3 linked regions of the Arabidopsis thaliana genome follow. The protein of the gene in region 1 interacts with the protein of each later gene in a pairwise test. Each region holds a gene or a part of one and is shown in the gene's direction. Other genes may lie near its edges.

Region 1 (5,389 bases):
TTTTATCTTGTGTTCAAGCCATCAACTATGATATCAAATTACCAGATCACTCATGCTAAAGAATCCATCGAAATGTATTAAGTTTGTCGAAGTTCGTTACTCTATATGGTGGATTTTAAATATTTGATTTGGTTAGATAATTTTTAGTTATACCGTCAAATAAATTTCCAACTATTTAGTCAGCGAATTTAAAGATCAAACACTAATCATCAGTAATGGTTTGCTGAAAATCGTCAGAATTTCTTTTACTAGTGAGCAAGTTTTAAGATGAAATAAAAGGTGTGAAACGAAATAGAGAAAAGGTAGAGAGGGAAGAGACAAGCGTGAGACACGGAGAAGTGGAACTGATCTCTTTACGTTCCTCGTACGTTTACCAAGTTACACTGCTTTCCATATTTCTATATTATTATTCCCTCCATCCCTTTCTTCACATACTTTATGTAACTTCTTTTTAAAAACCAATTATTTGTATTCTAATTGATTGAATCAAATAGTTTCTATAAGACTATAAATAAACATAATTCGAATTCAAATTCGGCAGCGTTGAAAGATATATGTTGAACAATACATTACCACACTTATTAGTAGAATATATTTATTTCTAGAGTCTCAAAACATAAGCCAAAAAGCCGAAAGCACCTTTTTATCTTTGTGGGTTTGGTGCAATGGATCATATATATGGTACATTAGCATTTTTATCATCTTTCTCTTTTATCATTTTTCTTGTATTGTCGGGCTTGCGTCAGGCCTGTACTTATCTTCATACAACATTATTTATGTACATAACCAGAATTCAGGCCACAAACAATACGTGAGCTATTCAGGATCACGAGGTCCACGCGCTCGCTCACCTTCCTCTTTCCTCAAAGGCTTTAGCTAATTGTTAACTAGATGGAAAACAGTGCTATGGTTGAATTTTAACATATTGGTTACTACTATCTCAATAATATTTTGTAATACAAATGTCGGTAGATGAATTGATATACCACCTTCATGGATGATGAAGATCCACTTTTAAAGCCCAATTTTTTGTTTTTCTTCGATGCCGAAATCAATATGGGCACATGTGGATCCTACTATAGCAGTTCCTCAATTTGAGTTAAAAATCTTTGGGTTTTAGGCTTTTAGCCCAAGGAAAAAAAAAAAAAAAAGAACCAATTTTTATTTTTTATAATTTAATAAGAACCAAATTATTCATCATTATATACTTCTGACAACAAATATTTACTATGTATATTATATAGTGAAGAAGCTGTGACATGAAACAGATTCAAGCCAATCGTCTGATTAGCTAGAGAATCACTGTCATAATCTATTAGTTGACAAAGAATGAATGACACTAGTACAGTAGTTAATATGAGTGCGGATTCTCGTAATCTCAACGTATCTACGTCAATAAGCTCATTTATACATCATTAAATTAAAGTACAACATTCCAATTTATGTTTGGTGGGTTCCTTTTTATCAAGACGTATACGATTATACCAAACCTTTATCCATAATTATTTTTAAATGATACATTTCGTAAATATTAATATTACGATTATTATTTTTAAACCTAAAATCTTTGAATTTTATAAAATTTTAAAATTGATAAAAAAGATACGGGATTTTTTTTGAGTTAATTGATTTTCTAATAAAGATATTGGATTCTTAGTGTTTTTTTTATTCTATAATTTATTTATAACGCGGAAATAAAAAGCAAAATAATTAATTAAGTGAGGAGAGTTTTAATATTTTGATGTTTATTTCTAAATTCATCTCTTTTTTCCACTTCTGTTCAGCTCTGATGAATCTTCTTCCTCTGTTACTTTGATCTCTTTCTCCATCCTTGTCTCTGTCGATTCTCTGAGATATCTTCTCTCGAGCTTTTTCCCGCGTTATCTCTCTCCCACTCCTGGTAATATTTTCTTCTTCTTCTTCTTCTAGATTGTTCTTCCGTTACTAGCTCTTGAATCCATTTCCACGGATCTCTGATCTTCAATCTCTGTTTTCATTCTCTCTAATCAGTTGTTGAGCTTGATATTTTTAGCTAACGTTTTTCCGATTCAAATTTACGATTTGTGTGTTTTCCGATAACCAAATCGGATATCTTCAGCTCAAACTCGAGCTCCGATTTCGTCTCATGTTGTAGATCTCGACGACTTCGTATTTGTCTATGGTTTGCTGATTGTATTCAGATTGCTAGATACTCAATATAGAGCTTACTTTTACCTCAGCTAGGGTTCGTCTTTGTTGTACCTTTAGTTGCTGCTTTTTGATTCTTGTATATATGGATTTTGATTGTTCAATCGTAATTTCTGGTTCATTGAAAATCGATTTATTAGTATTCGAAATTGGAACTAAGATTTAGAGATTGCGAATTTGATACAGAAGTCATTTCAAAGTATCAGAGCTATAAAATGGTGCTTAGCTAGTTTCTGGTTTCCATTTCTGGATTTTCATTCAAATACGAAATCTATTCGTCAAAATGGTGTCACTAGTGTTCTGTAGAAATTTCATTACAGACTTTTAGTTGTTGCCTAGTATCAACTCATATCTCAGCGGTAGATATGATGAATCTACTAGACATATTTTTCAATTATCGCCTCCTTTTACAAGTTTATCATGTCATTATTTTGTTGATAACTACATGAATGCTGGCTGAAATATTAATTTGTCTCTTTTTCCTCTTAATTGGTTCAGGTTGGAGCTTGATGTCTAAATTGTTATTGAACTGCTGGAGTCTGTCTTGCTTTAAGTAGAAAGAGATGAGTTACACGACGGCGACTGCTGATAGTGATGATGGTATGCACTCCAGCATCCATAATGAATCACCAGCTCCTGATAGTATTAGCAATGGCTGCAGAAGTAGAGGGAAAAGAAGTGTCCTGAAGAAAGGACCATGGACTTCAACTGAAGACGGGATTTTAATTGATTATGTAAAGAAGCACGGCGAGGGTAACTGGAATGCTGTGCAGAAACACACTAGCCTGGCCCGTTGTGGTAAAAGCTGTCGTCTGAGATGGGCTAATCATCTGAGGCCAAACTTGAAGAAAGGAGCATTTAGCCAAGAAGAAGAACAGCTCATTGTTGAAATGCACGCCAAGATGGGAAATAAATGGGCACAGATGGCTGAACATGTAAGTAGTTTTGTAACTGCGGAAGCTACCTGATCATGGTCCATTTTCATATTTTGATATTCTTTGTGAGCCTAAAGACTAATTAATCTCTGGTATGATGTTTTCTTCTTGTTTACCAGTTACCTGGTCGAACAGATAATGAGATAAAGAATTATTGGAACACTCGTATCAAGAGGAGACAACGAGCAGGCTTACCACTTTACCCTCCTGAAATCTATGTTGATGACCTTCATTGGAGCGAAGAGTATACAAAGAGTAATATCATAAGAGTAGATAGAAGAAGAAGACATCAAGATTTCTTGCAGTTGGGGAATTCTAAAGATAATGTCTTATTTGACGATCTAAATTTTGCTGCTAGCTTGTTACCTGCCGCTTCTGACCTATCAGATTTGGTTGCATGCAACATGCTAGGAACTGGCGCAAGTTCTTCCCGGTATGAGAGCTACATGCCACCAATATTGCCTTCCCCAAAGCAAATCTGGGAATCTGGATCTCGGTTTCCCATGTGCAGCAGTAACATAAAGCATGAATTCCAATCGCCGGAACACTTTCAGAATACGGCTGTACAGAAGAATCCCAGATCTTGCAGTATCTCGCCTTGTGATGTTGATCATCATCCTTATGAAAACCAACATTCGTCTCATATGATGATGGTTCCTGATAGCCATACAGTTACGTATGGCATGCATCCTACTTCTAAGCCCTTGTTTGGGGCAGTGAAGCTGGAGCTCCCTTCATTCCAATATTCAGAAACTAGTGCATTTGATCAGTGGAAGACGACTCCGTCACCTCCACACTCAGATCTCCTTGACTCTGTTGATGCCTATATTCAATCTCCACCACCATCGCAGGTAGAGGAGTCAGATTGTTTCTCTTCATGCGACACCGGCCTACTAGATATGTTACTTCATGAGGCCAAGATCAAAACTAGTGCGAAGCACAGTTTGTTGATGTCATCACCCCAGAAGAGTTTCAGTTCAACTACTTGCACGACCAATGTTACTCAGAATGTACCACGTGGCAGCGAAAACCTGATCAAATCAGGAGAATATGAAGATTCCCAAAAGTATTTGGGTCGCTCCGAGATTACAAGTCCCTCGCAACTTAGTGCAGGTGGTTTTTCATCAGGTGAGTTGATCAAAGTTACTTGTTGATTGGTATCTTATCTACTCTTGTTCCATATTGATTCTTATGCAGCTGTGTTGGTTTTCGTATATGAAGCTTTTGCAGGGAATGTTGTAAAGACAGAAGAGTTGGATCAGGTTTGGGAACCAAAGAGAGTTGATATAACACGGCCTGATGTTTTACTTGCGTCGAGCTGGCTTGACCAAGGCTGTTATGGCATTGTTAGTGACACAAGCAGCATGAGTGATGCGCTTGCACTTCTTGGTGGTGACGACATTGGGAACAGTTACGTGACTGTTGGGTCATCATCAGGTCAAGCACCACGAGGCGTCGGGTCTTATGGATGGACCAATATGCCTCCTGTTTGGTCGCTGTAACAAAATGAACCATATCACACAATTTGAATCTTTCTGTATTTTCATGCACCTGGCTTACATGACTTGGTGGTTTGTTATAGTTGAGAGAAGATTTGTGGACTTGGTAAAAATTTGGATTTTCTTCACCTGATTTTTCTTATACTTGGAAGGCATTTATATATACTCATTTCTTGTTCCTGCTACTTCCATCATACTAGCTCGATTGGTTTTGTTTAGATTGTAAAGAAGCAAATCAAAATTAGGGCTTATTGTAGCCCAACCTCTAATTGGGACCGGAGACACAGCAGCATGAGCGATGCGCTTTATTTCACAACTTGAAACTAGACGCTAATCAAACGTTACATAAGATTATGTAAAAAACAACATACTCCATAATAGTGGCTCCAGCACTCTCAATATATAGAGACATCAAAGGGAAATGAATCATTACAAATAATAAAAAAGTTTTAGGTCTTGCTTCTCGCAAAGTAACGGTGCCCCAAGAGGATTAAAACCCAAAATTCTCATGGGACTCCGAAATGATTTTACCTCATACTCCGGTTTTCTTGTTTCTAATGATTTCCTTAAGCTCTGCAAACTTCTTCTTGCATTGGTTCATCGTTTTACCAGGGACAGCTGCAGCTACTCTCTCCCATCTTTGGCTTGTCTCTTTCGGGAATGTCTTTAAAGCTTGAACCAAAGCTCTTTCTTGCACAGTCGACCAACTATCTGCGTCTGAACTTCCACCTACTTCACCATTGTTGTCTGAGCTTTGACTGCTCGAGC
Region 2 (3,896 bases), on another chromosome or scaffold:
TCTGTATGTAAATGGTCCATATTTTGCATTTCCACAACGACCCATGTGTATGTGTACATACATTTTCCATGATATTTGTCCTTGCAAATATATATGATTCGTTACAAAACAAATCTTTCTGTTATGCACATGGTCATTAATTGATTCTTTTTCCCATTCTAGTAATCTTGGTACCTATGATTCATTCAAATTTAAATGTCTATGTCATTGATTGTTAATGACGTAAGTTGATTTATTTTGTATGAAATTATTGAATTGTAGGTATTAGCACCATTGCCAATTGGATTTTCCGTGTTCATGGTTCATTTAGCCACAATTCCAATTACTGGCACCGGAATAAACCCGGCTAGGAGTTTTGGAGCTGCCGTCATCTACAACAATCAAAAGGCTTGGGATGATCAGGTTTGTATTTTCACCATCTGATATTCGTTCTTGGGTTTTAAATTAACATATTAATGAGTTTTGTTTTAATAACTACAGTGGATCTTCTGGGTCGGTCCATTTGTGGGTGCAGCCATTGCAGCATTTTACCATCAGTTTGTGTTGAGAGCTGGTGCAATGAAGGCCTATGGGTCAGTCAGGAGCCAGCTTCATGAGCTCCATGCTTAAATTTGTTATTTCGAACTAGCGAAGAGGTGAAGAATTCTTTGGGCCAGGAAGGGAGGAAGGAAAAAAAAAAGGGACCCAAATCATATAAAAGAAAAAACGAATATTATTTAAGATGGTCGGTGAGTGACATTTACTGTGTCTTATTTGTGGCTTTGTGGGGGAGGTTTGTGTGTAACAATTTGTAACGTACAAGCAATGTATGTGTTATTTGATGCATATGATATTTATATATCTACTTATTGATGATTCTATCTTTGATCAATCATCATTATAACTTAAATTTCATAGAAAAAAACACAAACTCCAAAACCATAAACTACTATTGTTCCTAAATTCTCAGGAATGTCAATGTCGATCACAATCTTAAAATTTCATGCTAAAGATCCTTTGGGTCTTTTCCATCAACGGTGCATCCTATCAATCACTGAAAAATAAAGGGCACAAACATTTGTAATCGTCTCAAACAAACAAATAAAAAATGTTGAAATGATAACGCCATGGATAAAATGTTGAAATAAAAATAAATGATTCACGACACATGTTTAGCTATGTATAGGAGAAAAACCAAATCCTCTCACTTTTCTCTTTTATCTGGTTCCCCTCAGATTTCTTTACTATCTTGTTCCTCTTACTTTCCTCTATTTCTTTGGTATTGCCATCTAGTGAGATCTTAACATCTCACAACTTATATGGCACCTTCCTCTATTTTCTATATTTTTTCAACCGCATAATGAACATGACACCAACAATCAGAAGTAGAAACCCAACCAATATCCACAGGTGTGAAACATAGAATTACCAGATTTAGCATCAGTCTGACACATCTTGTATGGATACTAAGAGAGAGGGTAGAGTCTAGCATGATTCTTGAGAATAGGTAGATAATCGGCAATAAATGCAACATTGTTTACACTAGTAAATTGACATATTTAGCAATAAAAATGTATATATAAATGTTAATAAAACCAATAAAAGAAATCTATTTCACATTTAATATCATGCGATTGTTGTAAGATGTGGTAGCTTAGCCGATCTTCCAAATATGCAAGATCTAGCTCATATTTTTGAGCATGTGTAGTTTAGGTTCAAAATAATATCTTAGAGAAAATAAAGTTGGTAATTAGAATATTATTAGAAATCAACTCACACACATCGTGTGGGTTTATTGGTATCATATATTATTCTACCTATTTTATTTTATTGAACAATGTGTCTTTAAAAATGAATAAGTACATAATTTTTTAGACTTATATTTTGAAATTTTGTCTATATTAATACTTACTATATATGAATTGAACTTGTTAAATATTGTATTGACTTTTGTAGTGGTAAGAAGAAACAATAAAAATCCATAAAAACAATAACTTGGTTTAGCTTTTGGTTACGTATGTAAGGGGGTTACTAAAAGTAAAAACACTGGGTTTGGGCTGGGTTCAGTAACTCTCATACAAAATCCATAAAAACTTTGGGCTGGGCTCATTCAAAATCCATACTTATTTTATTACTTTCCTAATTAAAAAAAATACACATAGCACAAGAAAAACCACCGCCCAAGCTTCTCTAGAACCTCTCCATCGTTCTCACTATCACTCCCCCCCCCCCCAAATATAAACCCTAATTTTCACAATCACAGTACCAAAAAAAAATGGCAGCCGCCGCACCGCCACCGCCACCAACAGCAGCACCGGAACCAAACATGGTAGCACCACTAATTTCACCAATCGGCCACCCAATGTTCTCCCGGATCCGTCTGGCAACACCGTCCGATGTCCCATTCATCCACAAACTAATTCACCAAATGGCAGTCTTCGAACGTCTCACGCATCTCTTCTCCGCCACCGAATCAGGTCTCGCTTCAACACTCTTCACCTCTCGTCCTTTCCAATCATTCACAGTCTTCCTCTTAGAAGTCTCTCGTTCTCCATTTCCAGCAACCATCACTTCATCACCATCTCCCGATTTCACACCGTTTTTCAAAACACATAACCTTGATCTCCCGATTGATGATCCGGAGAGTTACAATTTCTCGCCGGATATGTTGAACGACGTCGTTGTAGCTGGGTTTGTTCTGTTTTTCCCGAATTACTCTAGCTTTTTGTCCAAGCCTGGTTTTTACATTGAGGATATATTTGTGAGAGAGCCTTATAGGAGGAAAGGGTTTGGTAGCATGTTGTTGACTGCTGTGGCCAAACAAGCGGTGAAGATGGGTTATGGAAGAGTGGAATGGGTTGTTCTTGATTGGAATGTTAATGCTATCAAGTTTTATGAGCAGATGGGTGCTCAGATTCTGCAGGAGTGGAGAGTTTGTAGACTTACTGGTGATGCTCTTGAAGCTTTTGATCAGGTCAACATCTAGAGATTGATGCTGTGTTGCTGAGAGTTATCGAATCAGATCACTTCCTCTTGCTTTTAAAGTTTGTGTTTTTTTTCCTTCTTCTTGTTGTTACTTTATGCAAGTGTTGGCATTGATGATGATGATGATGATGAATTCTCTATGCTTACTTGTTGGATACTGAATGAGAAAAAAGAACCCTTTTGTTGAATGTATGAAATGTTTCGAGTTTTTAAAGTAAGAGTTATGTATTTGTGTGATTCCTCGTCATATTTGCTTGACCAAAGTATTTGTTCTGTGTTATGGATTTGAAGAATTGGTTTTGTGATCCTAGAGGACAGTGAATTGGAGAGTACAGATAAATTGGTCAAATGAAGAAATTGTGATCAAATGTAGAATGGTTAAGTTGCTTGCGAGGCACACACAAGTCTAATTGCAAACTATATAGGTTAAGCCTTCTTGCTTCAGTTACTATAGAAGACAATAAAAACTAAGTTTTAGTAGTCTCTGACTCTCTGTCTTGTTGTATAGAGAATTAAGAAACCGTGAGCATGAAACAAAAATTCATCTATTTTTATTACTACAACAAAACATTCCGCTTTTGTGTTAACATAGAGAACAAAAGACCCCATTTTACGAAAATGATTCTACTCTTATAAATGGGCTTAAGTGGGTTGTAAAATTTGTAGAAGAATGCACAAACACTTCAACATCTCTAGTTGTCCTACTGGCTTTAAAGAACATCTCTTTGATTGAGATTAATTCACTTGCAATTTATCGGTAAAACTTTAAAACTGAACCAAAAGTAAAAAAGAGTGAGACTAGTTTTTTGTTTGTTAAACATGAAACTGGACATAAAACTGGACAGATACATTCTACTAATATCATGCATTCCGTTAAGTATTTTGAACAAAAAATCTCATCTTTGGAAGAGTATATTATGAAAAATATTTGG
Region 3 (3,093 bases), on another chromosome or scaffold:
TGGTTTTGTATTAAGTATTAACTATATAAAATTCATGAATAATGAATCAGGAAAAAAGATGAATACATTGCTTCTCTATACATTATTACCTATCAATGGTTTTCTCCTTGTTAGTCTTCACAGTAGATTCACCTAATATGATTCACATGAGCAAATGGATCCGTATATTTTTTTGAAGCAGCTTTCTTGGTGGTCTTAGGTGGTTCTCCAAAAACATTCCAAAGCCTGAGAGTCTCGTCACCGGCTGCAGAAGCCACGGTACAACCATCCGGACTCTGTGCCATAAAAAGAACTCTTGATGTATGACCATTGAGTTCAGCCATTTTCACCATAGATGGGTACTTCCAAAGTGTAAGCTGGTTCTGTGTAAACCCATGTGAGCTAAGCAACTCTCTTTCACTTTTGCTCCATAACAATGAACAAACTTGAGAGCCAGTTTCTACTGAATTCAAGCAAGCCCCAGTGTGTGTATTCCAGAACTTAATCTTCCCATCACCTACACCACCACCAGTTGCAAGCAAACTCGCTTGGAAAGGGCACCAAGCAAGAGCTCTCACTGCAGCTGTATGTTCCTCAAACCTATGCAGCCATTGCCTAGTTGGGTTTGAGGAAGCGACAGAACGATGATCCCAAATGTGTACTACATTGTCGTTACCACCACTTGCTAGTTTTTTTCCAGATTCTGACCACTTAAGACCACAAACCTCTTCTGTGTGACCCAAGTAAGTTTCAACAATAGATGATCTGATCCTCACATCATTGTTGACGATCTTTCCATCCATTCCTCCAGTTGTTAGAATGTGATTGTTCCATGCCAATGATCCTACTCTTGACTCGTGACCACCTCTCAGTGTTCTCACTTGACGATTGGAAACACAATCCCAAAGCTGGACTTCACTGTTGTCAAGACCAATTGCCAGATCAAGACCATCTTGCGTCCAGTTAATACTTGTGACAGGTCCCTCCTCTTCATCAATGGTCACAAGCTTATATGTAGAACCACTAGACGCATCCCACAAGTAAACAGTGTCTCCCAAAGCAATGGCTAAGACATTAGAACTGCCCCAATCCAACAAGTTAAGGTAGAAGTCATCCGCAATTCCAGGTGCATCCAAGACTCTCTCACTATTCTGAGGAATGTATCTACGAGGCTTTACGGATATAGGTTGTTGGTGAGGAGGATCAGAGTGATTACTAGAAAGCAGAGCTTTAGGTTTGTTTCTGAAAGCGAGAATCCGAGTGCGATTCTGATTCATAGCCTCAGCCAATTGCGTCATGTAGGCTTTTCTTGATGCTGAAGTTACCTCATCGACATTACGTTTTCTTCCTTGGGTAAGAGCGTAGTTAGCAAAGTCGAAATCCATGGCCGATCTATTCGGTATGAATCTGTCGAAGTTTTCCTTGGAAAGTTTCCGACGGAGAAAGTGTTCTACAAGTGGACACGAAGCTTGTGCCTTTAAATGTGAAGAAGTGTTCATCATAACTGTGATTAGAAGAAGACTAAACGAAATATGACAAAGAGACAAATAAAACCTGCGAAGAAGGAAACGTAAAGTAGATTCAAAGCAGAGAGACAGAGAGCGAATAGCGAATAGTGAAGGAAGATTGTGGCAATTTTAGGGTTTTTTGCTTTCTTTAATTCATTACATAGAAATTGTCAATTACGTACAACGGTTAGATATTAGTAAAATGGAAATCGGATCTAATTCAGATTTCCGTTAAAAATAAATAAAAGATTTTCATTACAGTTACTGAAGAAAAATGAAATAAATATGGAAATCGAATTTAACAAATTCAATATAAACCCTAATCCCAATTCTCTGACTTTATTTTCTCTTTGCAAGAAACTAAAGCTTCTTTCTTTCACCGTGTAAACAACAACAATGGATTCTTCAATGTCGACGAAGAAGAAAACCAAATTGTCTGTGAGAAACCAAACTTGTTTCAAGAAATCGTCTCTTTCTTCTTCTTCTACTGCAAAAAAGACCACGAATTTGTCTATGAGAGAAGAGACCATGTTTAAGAAAGCCTTGGAGCTTTCAACTCTGTGCGACATCGAAGTCTGTGTCATATATTATGGTCGTGACGGAGAACTCATCAAGACATGGCCGGAAGATCAATCCAAGGTTCGAGACATGGCTGAGAGGTTTAGCAAACTACACGAGAGAGAGCGACGCAAGAAAAGAACAAACCTTTCTCTGTTTCTACGTAAAAAGATCCTCGACGACAATAAATTGTCGGAGAAAGTCTTAGAGATGAAGGATTCGCTAGAAAGTGGTCTACGGGTATTACAAGATAAGCTTCTGTTACTCCAACCCGAGAACCAGACCGAGCTAGGTCAGAGCCGTGCGGTTTCTTCCACAACGAATCCATTGTCTTCTCCTGAGGATCATCATCATCAACAATGGACAGAACCATTGGTGACTGGTGTGTCAAACACAGAGCAAGACCTATCGACGTCACCATTGAGTAACCATCAGAGCAAATATTCAGTCTTTGTCTATAACCATGACAGCGGAAGCTTCTATCAAGTCCCTGACTCGATCTGTTTCTAGTTTAGATTATGAGTTTTAATTGTCTGATTAAGAGTTTGTGTTGAATTGTATGTTTTTCCTAAGTATTATCATTATGAATGCTATTCTCAATTCAATTTTTGTCTGAGTCAATTAGTTGGCTTTGTTGGATTTAGAAGCCAATGGTGAATTTCCAGATTACAATGCCTTGTGATTTTCCGATTAAAATTCTTCCAAGCCCTAACAATGGAGATTTGTTCAAGAGATCTCCTAACTCTCCTCTATGGTTTGTTACACACACATCAATACATGCATAACTTGTGCAATAACCTTCTATCTATTTATATACAACTCACTAGACTCTCAAGCTAGTGGTTAAACAATCTGTTTCTTCTTGCTCTGTTTTCACGTGCCTTCTCTGCTTCTCTTTGCTTATTCACGAGCCTCAACGAATCCGTTTGAGCTACCACACGTGCCTCCTAGCTTATCATAGGTCTTTTGATTCATGTTTGTACAAGCTTAAGTAAAGTGTATCCGGAGGATTGACATATACAATAGACATTGAATGTTAGATATCCAT

Evidence for each region. The genes of interacting proteins can lie anywhere in the genome.
Region 2: the proteins of MYB65 (region 1) and AT2G39020 interact in a two-hybrid assay, tested with the Arabidopsis thaliana proteins (one large-scale study listed by BioGRID).
Region 3: the proteins of MYB65 (region 1) and AGL89 interact in a two-hybrid assay, tested with the Arabidopsis thaliana proteins (one large-scale study listed by BioGRID).

Annotation. Positions count from the first base shown.
Region 1 is NC_003074.8:3,600,306-3,605,694, forward strand, and holds MYB65 (myb domain protein 65), read left to right. Parts: upstream 1-1,730; 5' UTR 1,731-1,900; intron 1,901-2,043; exon of another isoform or gene 2,044-2,224; intron 2,225-2,578; exon of another isoform or gene 2,579-2,685; 5' UTR 2,686-2,750; coding exon 2,751-3,122; intron 3,123-3,241; coding exon 3,242-4,250; coding exon of another isoform or gene 4,251-4,276; exon of another isoform or gene 4,277-4,343; coding exon 4,344-4,624; 3' UTR 4,625-4,867; downstream 4,868-5,389. Other genes in the region: AT3G11450 (DnaJ and Myb-like DNA-binding domain-containing protein), read right to left, coding at 5,154-5,389. UniProt on the Arabidopsis thaliana protein: Transcriptional activator of alpha-amylase expression that binds to 5'-CAACTGTC-3' motif in target gene promoter. In vegetative tissues, inhibits growth by reducing cell proliferation. Promotes the expression of aleurone-related genes (e.g.
Region 2 is NC_003071.7:16,293,138-16,297,033, forward strand, and holds AT2G39020 (Acyl-CoA N-acyltransferases (NAT) superfamily protein), read left to right. Parts: upstream 1-2,002; 5' UTR 2,003-2,254; coding exon 2,255-2,965; 3' UTR 2,966-3,358; downstream 3,359-3,896. Other genes in the region: PIP2E (plasma membrane intrinsic protein 2E), read left to right, coding at 262-402, 481-609. UniProt on the Arabidopsis thaliana protein: Probable protein acetyltransferase with dual specificity triggering both N-alpha-acetylation (NTA) and epsilon-lysine acetylation (KA).
Region 3 is NC_003076.8:9,734,768-9,737,860, forward strand, and holds AGL89 (AGAMOUS-like 89), read left to right. Parts: upstream 1-1,757; 5' UTR 1,758-1,883; coding exon 1,884-2,555; downstream 2,556-3,093. Other genes in the region: CDC20.5 (cell division cycle 20.2, cofactor of APC complex-like protein), read right to left, coding at 129-1,481.